2 linked regions of the Arabidopsis thaliana genome follow. Each later gene encodes a partner of the first gene's protein in a complex. Each region holds a gene or a part of one and is shown on either strand. Other genes may lie near its edges. The genes, in order: GI and LKP2. A codon is read from its position in the direction of its gene.

Evidence for each region.
Region 2: the proteins of GI (region 1) and LKP2 are in contact, whole or in part, in a crystal structure (PDB 7WA4), measured with the Arabidopsis thaliana proteins. Residues at the interface, in NP_564180.1 of Arabidopsis thaliana: Met564, Arg568, Ala569, His572, Leu576, Glu577, Ser650, Tyr651, Leu653, Ala654, Ala655, Ala658, Leu659, Cys661, Glu662, Ser703, His707, Ser754, Lys755, Ala756; in NP_849983.1 of Arabidopsis thaliana: Cys45 (codon at 1,575), Phe47 (codon at 1,569), Val49 (codon at 1,563), Asp51 (codon at 1,557), Glu54 (codon at 1,548), Ile60 (codon at 1,530), Tyr61 (codon at 1,527), Val62 (codon at 1,524), Asn63 (codon at 1,521), Thr64 (codon at 1,518), Glu67 (codon at 1,509), Arg73 (codon at 1,491), Ala74 (codon at 1,488), Glu75 (codon at 1,485), Ile78 (codon at 1,476), Gly79 (codon at 1,473), Ile140 (codon at 662), Glu142 (codon at 656), His148 (codon at 638).

Annotation. Positions count from the first base shown.
Region 1 is NC_003070.9:8,059,765-8,063,688, forward strand, and holds the start of GI (gigantea protein (GI)), read left to right. Parts: upstream 1-1,986; 5' UTR 1,987-2,217; intron 2,218-2,426; 5' UTR 2,427-2,633; coding exon 2,634-2,798; intron 2,799-2,878; coding exon 2,879-2,933; intron 2,934-3,011; coding exon 3,012-3,154; intron 3,155-3,238; coding exon 3,239-3,510; intron 3,511-3,656; coding exon 3,657-3,712; intron 3,713-3,881; coding exon 3,882-3,924. UniProt on the Arabidopsis thaliana protein: Involved in regulation of circadian rhythm and photoperiodic flowering. May play a role in maintenance of circadian amplitude and period length. Is involved in phytochrome B signaling. Stabilizes ADO3 and the circadian photoreceptor ADO1/ZTL.
Region 2 is NC_003071.7:8,195,549-8,199,472, forward strand, and holds the start of LKP2 (LOV KELCH protein 2), read right to left. Parts: upstream 1,936-3,924; 5' UTR 1,708-1,935; coding exon 1,463-1,707; intron 835-1,462; coding exon 1-834. Other genes in the region: AT2G18920 (uncharacterized protein), read right to left, coding at 2,205-2,612.

The sequences.
Region 1 (3,924 bases):
TTTTTGAATATACACCTTTACATATATTTTGAGTTGAGATAAAAAGGGAATTATGTTAGTTTATGGATTATATTATGTAAATACCACATCTAACTATGATCGGATGAAAACTAAACCAGCATATCTCTAATCAGTAATATTTACTAAATTTATATATCATTAAAGATTTTTTGAATTTAGCAAAAAAAGAAGAAGATATCATTAAAGATTTTTAAATTTAAAGTATAACATAATGAATAAATCAAGTGTTGAGCTTAGTTTCGCGTTGCAAAGATGTTCATTTGATTTTTTTTTTTTTTTTTCCATTTGATTTTTCTTATACTAAATTGATTGATGTCACGGTCCTTCTGTGAAAAAAGTATATTGTACTGTATAAATTTATAATAGTCATACTTGAAGATAACTAATATCATTTTCTAAAGGTTTTGTTGACAATGAAATGGGTAATGATGAACATCTCGTTTGCTAAACCACAAAAGAAATAATTCGTTGGACTATAACTTAAACTTATAATATATCAACTGAAATGCCTACAATTTGAGAATACGCCTTTTCAAAAAGTTTTAGAATTTTATAAAAATTTCTCCACCATAATATTACTTTAATAAAAGCTTGTTATTAAAATGATATATTAACAAAAAAAAAAGAGGTAGGCAAAGTAGCTTTTATTAAAATTAATGTTTTCCCTAATTGGTAAATCATAAACCAAAAAATTGAGGTAATTCTTAATATATTTACTATGATTAGAATGATACATTAATGTAACATTTTATCATCTTCATTAATAATAGTAAGTTCTCCTCAAAATTACAATTTGATATCAAAAAATATATTTGTATTACAAGCAATTACTGAAAAATTAAAATTACAATTTAGCCCAGTTACATAACTCCACGTAAGGTTTGAGCCCATCACATCACATGGTACATGACCAAAGCCCAGTTATGTTACCATGGAGTATTCTTCAGACAAGAGCCATCCAGACAGAAGTGGACCACACAATCACGAATCGTATGGAGATCATTACAATATATTGCTCACATCTTATTGCGCCACGTCTCTTATTTGGCGAGTGATCAACGTCCACAGATCTCTTGCTCCACTCTGATTGGTACACGTCATCATTTTATTGTGCTACTTGTTTATGTGGTACAGTAGAGACAAGTGGTAAGATTTTAAAATATCTTAAAAGATGTGTGAGGCCCATTTAGATATTTTCTCAACGGGCTGTTCCTCAAAAGCTGCCCGTTTATCTACAACCATCGAACGGCTCGAAACTATTCTGGGCTAGCTGCCCGAAATCTCTTAAAGGAATTTGTTGAGTGGGCTTGAATCAACGGTGGATAATTCGAAGGTGTACGTAACATCTCGTAGCATCTGAACTTAGCTCCCCTCAAAATATCTGTGGACATATGTCACTAGCTTTTTTTTTGTGTAATGAAACTATTAATTAATTAGGCAATCACATGAGAGATGTTATATACTTAAATTAATAACTCAATAATACAATCATGACCACCAAACCTTGAAATAAAATAATCTCTCTGATTACTTGTACAAATTCTTTACCAATATATGCCATACTGTGAATGTAATGGTTTATTTTAAAACAGCCAAATATTATTGATATAATTATATGTTTAAGTAGATTTTAAACTTAGCTCATGGTTAAAAATAGACAGAATTTTGGAGTAAATCTGAGTTTACAAAATTTATTTATTAGGATTAAAATTAATTACTTAAATTGGCAAACATTTTTCTTGGTGATTGTAACATACAATATACGAATTTGAATTCGCATTGTGATTCCAAAACAACACTAACATAAACTACCAGTAAAATTTTTTAAAATAAAATTTCATATATATATGCTTAAAAAATGTAACAAAAATATGGTAAATTTTTTAACCATGGTATGGGTGGAGATGTATGTGGGATGATGATGGTTATATGGTAATGGCGCATAAAGGTGGTGGCAAAGGCAAGGAAATATCGATGACACGTAAGCAGACGGGAAATCTTAAACCGAGTGGAGAAGCCTCCAAATCTCTTTTTTCTCTCTCTCTCTCCTAAGGCCACCACAATCTCTTCTTCTGTGTATGTATTCTTTTTTTCTCCGATATTCGTCGATCTCTCAAAAATATCCTCAAAGCCAAAAAAAAGCAAGAGTAGAGATAACCAACCAACAAACTCATAGGAAGACATATTTACTTTCAGGTCTTTCTTCTACTACCTTTTTCGTGGTTTTTGGTTGATTGATTCTCAGATGAGATTTTTTCCCGAATCATTTGATGTCTTTTTTTTTTAAATAAGTTCTTGGTAAATCACTGTTTCTACTAGCATTTTTTGTTTTCTCAGCTTAGATTTGTTGTTTGATTTGACATCTTATCTGATTGAGATTTTGTTCTTCTGAATTGTTGTTACAGGGTTTAGCTGTTTGATTCAGCTTCGATTTAGTGTACAGTGTGTTGATTAGTATAAAAAGGATTTAAAAGAATCTGGGAGATGTGTATAGTGATTGTTCTTGCTGGCGAATGTTAACACTACGTCGTATTGATTCTCGATTGATAGTAGAAGAAAGGTGTTAGTTAGATTGTTCGTTCATCTAGTTGGGGTTTAGTTTCGGTTCCTGGATGGCTAGTTCATCTTCATCTGAGAGATGGATCGATGGTCTTCAGTTCTCTTCCTTGTTATGGCCTCCGCCACGAGATCCTCAACAACATAAGGATCAAGTCGTTGCTTATGTTGAATATTTTGGTCAATTTACATCAGAGCAATTCCCAGATGACATTGCTGAGGTACTTGATACCTAATGAGTTTAATAAGAGTATTCTCTTAGTAGTGACGTTTTGATTCATGTATAATTTATCTGTATCAGTTGGTCCGGCATCAGTATCCATCAACTGAGAAGCGACTTTTAGACGATGTGCTGGGTATGATCAACATTTATGATCCACACTTCTCTTTTTGTGTGTGAATGTCTATCTGATTTTCGTTTTCTGATGAAACAGCGATGTTTGTCCTTCATCATCCGGAGCATGGTCATGCAGTCATTCTTCCAATCATTTCATGTCTTATTGATGGCTCGTTGGTGTACAGCAAGGAAGCTCATCCGTTTGCCTCTTTCATATCTTTAGTTTGCCCAAGTAGTGAGGTATATAATAGCTGTCTAGTATCATGCTTACTGATTTGGTGTAACCTATACCATTTTGTGCTAACATGTTCACTATCCTAACAGAATGACTATTCGGAGCAATGGGCTTTGGCATGTGGAGAAATCCTTCGCATTTTGACTCATTACAACCGTCCCATTTATAAAACTGAGCAGCAAAATGGAGATACAGAGAGAAATTGTCTGAGCAAAGCTACAACTAGTGGTTCTCCGACTTCAGAGCCTAAGGCTGGATCACCAACACAGCATGAAAGGAAACCTTTAAGGCCTTTGTCTCCATGGATCAGTGATATACTACTTGCTGCTCCTCTTGGTATAAGAAGTGACTATTTCCGATGGTAAGTAGACTCTGTTACTGATGCTTCTATGTGTTCATGCGCCGGCCTCCTTCTTTTATTTTGGTCTCTCTGCTGAGGTCTATGTATTGAGGTTCTGTAGTGGATTAAGCTTACTGACAACTAAAAATGTTGCTTATTATTTACAGGTGTAGTGGTGTAATGGGTAAATATGCTGCTGGAGAGCTCAAGCCGCCAACCATTGGTGAGTTCAAGAATTCCATGTTAATATCCCCTGGAACTGGATTTTGATGATAATTCTGATCAATAGAGTTGTTCTATCACTTCGTTCATAAATGTGTATCCATCACCTGTGGCTATAGAATGTGTTTTGAGTTGCTTCCTATAACTTTCATGTTGTCCTACTTTGGCAGCTTCTCGAGGATCTGGTAAACATCCTCAACTGATGCCTTCAAC
Region 2 (3,924 bases), on another chromosome or scaffold:
ACTAAACGGGAACCGTTGACACAAGAAAGTGTGTGACCCCAGCGACCCGGAGGAGGAGAGCTGACCAGAACAGATTTCCACTCGGGACTACTCGAGCCAAGGTCCAACACAAATGTATCATTCATCGGCTGCATATTCACACCTTCCCCGCCAAAGATAACAATCCTGTTCCCAACTGCACATGCGCTGAAATTACACCGAGAAGGCTCAACAGTACCTCCAACTGAAAACTTCCTCCATGCTGTTGCTTCGTGAGTGGTGAACTCTCGGGCCAGTCGCACCCAACCAATCCTTTTTGCACCGGGAACACTCTCAAGAACACGTGTTGCCTCGGTACCCCATGTGTTTTGACAGACCATTCTCCACACATCATCATTCTTTGTCAACTCATTGAGCCGCCTACATACACAACCAACCGATGCAATATCACCAGGAGTCAACTGTGACAATATCTTGATAGCTATTACTTCATCACTCAGTTCGAATATCCCACAGAGTCCACGAGAAACATTACGCTCTCCGATTGGTAAAGCAGAAGTAAATGAGCGAGATATTCTAGGAATTTCTTTTGCAGATAAATCAGGAGATGGGCCAAGATCAATTTTTGCATCTGTAAATAAGAGAACGCCTATGAAATGAGTGATTTCGTCTTCTTCACGGATAGGGACTAGACGCAGCTTGTTCATCAAGGGAGATCCATCTTTCCGAAAGTTGAGCAACTCGCCTTGAAACTCGATGCCATTTTCTAGACATTGTCGCATCTTCGCTACAATTGTAGAATCTACCATTGGATGCCTTCTTTTAGTAAATGGCCCTCTACATTGCAAGAAACGGCTGCCAAATAAAAAACAACAGCACAAATCAGATACAAGACCCTCCTATTCAATTCATCGAATAGATAACTAACAACTAAACAGATACAGTACTTTGGCGAACAATTCCTCACACACAAGTATTGAACAAAGACTAAACTATATGCATAATTAACATGGAATACCAGATCAAAAGCCGCTAAAACCCAAGAGAAACATATTCAACAGAAACATATATACTTAGACAAAAACGCATTACAATTCAATATTACAAAAATCAATAATCCCAAGGCTTTCATAAACCAATCAAGACATGTGAAAAACTATCAAAGTTCGAGTTCCTAAACACTAATCCACAGACATAGGAAACATTACAAACTGAACCTCACATTATAGCTTAGTTCCTCCACAACAAACTTCTAATTCAATAACCAACCCATGATTCCAAAATGGTTCTAGCTAATAATACCTAACATAATCAACAAGAACCATAATAATGAATCGAAATATAAATTTCTTTCTGTCAAAACAGCTTTCAACAAAGCTTTCTAGTAACATCGTACCAATACCACAAATGAGACAAAATTCGCTACAGTAAAACAAAATCAACACCACAAATTTAGGGTAAAAGTCAAGAAGAGCAAACTCACCAATTTCGACCAATAACTTCTTCAGCTCGATAACCAGTAACAATCTCAAAAACAGTGTTAACATAAATGATAGGGTTGTCAGGTTCAAGAGCATCGCTGACCACAAACCCACACGGCGCCGTGCCAGGAAGACTACCTACCGGAAACGGAATCGCTCCGTTATCTCCACCGAACCATCCATCCTCCGCCACTTCATCTCCACCGCTGAGATCGGAATCACTATCCCACTCCATTTGATTTTGCATACACACCCACAAAATAAAGCTTAAGCCCACTAATCTTCTTCCTCAGCAACAGGAGAAGAGACCCAGAAGAACAAAGTTTGATTTTGAATCGAGGAATCTGATATCTGTAGGTAATCGAAGTCTCCACAGGAAAAAAGTTCCAAACTTTAGACAAACCCAGAAATCGTCTTCTTCAGGAACAGGAGATAGAAGAACAGATTTTGAAATGGAATCGAGCGAAGAAAAGAGGAATCTGATATTTGTAGGTAATGGAAGTCTCCACCGCCCACTTCTAAGAGGAGGAGAAGAAGAAGAAGAGAGATGATTCGGTCGGTCGATGACTCGGCTCTTCTCAGTGCCTCTCCTTTTCCATCTTTAACCAGACCGGTTTCTTAATTTTACCTTACCGGTTTAGTTTATCTATCCGGTTTACACAAAATATCCTGTAAGTTTCTTATGAGATTTTTTTGGTTTTACCAAATGAGTGTATTAGAATCAGTTTTATTGATTTAAAAACATTAGAAACTTGAATTTATCATGAAACCATTGCATCCAAAACCCAATTCTTGCTCATCGAAACGTTCTCCGTCTTTGCTGAATCCAGTAATAGCTTCAAGCCAATCAATATTTTCCTCTTCTTCTAGAGCAACAAAAGCCGATGCATAGTTGGCTTGAGCAAGACATCGTACTGCAGCCCGCCAGAATGGTGTACGCTTCGGGACATCAAGACGTCTAAGAGCGTTAATAACATCTTGATACAAAAGTACAACACCCCGTCTTTCACGATACTCCGTAATAAAGTTTCCACTATTTTCGATCACGCTTTCAATGATAGACCTTCTTCGAGGTTGCCTTGCACGTCTAGAAGAAGTTTGTACACTGTTACGTGTTTGTGTTACGCCTTGGTTTTGGGTGGTGTCTGCCATATAATCTTGTGTGTTTAGAGGGTAGACATCATCTTCAACTATCCTAAAAGACGCTTTATGCAAATGGAAGAAGGCTTTTACTAAAGGTCAAACCACATTTTTCTGCGGTTTTGTCTTTGCTCTGCAAGTAAAGTTTTTATGTGAAACAAAAACTAATTATGTTGATGTTGATTATTTGTATAATGTTAATTGTTTTTTATTTTTTCGTGTAGGTATTTGCATTAGAGCGATTTACTATCTTTCAACAACTATTTCCATCCAGTTTTCCTTTAATGGTTGAGTGGGCAAAGATATATAAACCGTATACCAAAAATTGTGCCAACAGAAGTGGGGGACACTATCAAGAGATGCTTGTAGACATGAAGGAAGATGAGGTACCTAACAAAATTTCATCTCTTTGTCATATGCATTTGTTCTATATTAAATACTTAGATTATATTTTTTCAGATTAAGTGGCAGCCATATAGCAAAGTTATATTGCCCAAGGAATACACCTCTCAATTGAGTATGGTATTTGCACATGTTCCATGCATCTGCTTTAACACCATCGCATACAACCGAACTATTTGGGAGAGCCACTAAATAGTTTTCCGATTAGGAATGACGAGACCTTGGAGATGGGAGAGCCACCAAACAAGTGGAATGAAAGCAATAGATGGGTTGACCATTCACATGTCACTGAGGTGGTCGAGACTTTGCCGGAGAAAACCAGTAAATCGGCTGATGCAAATGTGAATTGTCTTTTTTTTTTTTTTCTAATACAAATGAATTTGGTTCTCACTTTACTTGATTTAACAGCTGGAGTCCTTGGATGAAAATCACAAGGAAGCGAATGAAGAGGAGGGAGCGAATGAAACGATGGGAGTGAATGAACAAGAGGGAGCGAATGAAACAGTTAGTCATTCTCAATAATACAAATGAATTTGGTTTTGTAACATATACTCTAGGATATTAGAAAACTAAATATTAATAACTGGCAGGAAAGAAGTGATCTTCGACTTCTTAAAAGAGGAAGAGACGAACTACTTAGAAGTGAAGGAAAATTAAAACCAACCGATAGATGTACTCCATCTTTTTCGCACCAGAAACATGCAGGGGAACAAGAAACAAAAATTCCGCTTGATAGCCTCGTTTCCTCCAAAATCGATAGGCCACGCTTGTTTCTTGATAGCCTCCAAAATCTATCATCTCCTCGATTTTGGAGGAAACGAGGCTATCAAGCGTAATTTTTGTTTCTTGTTCCCCTCCATGTTTCTGGTGCGAGAAGATGGAGTAAATCTATCTGTTAGTATTTTATCTCTTCCTCTTTTAA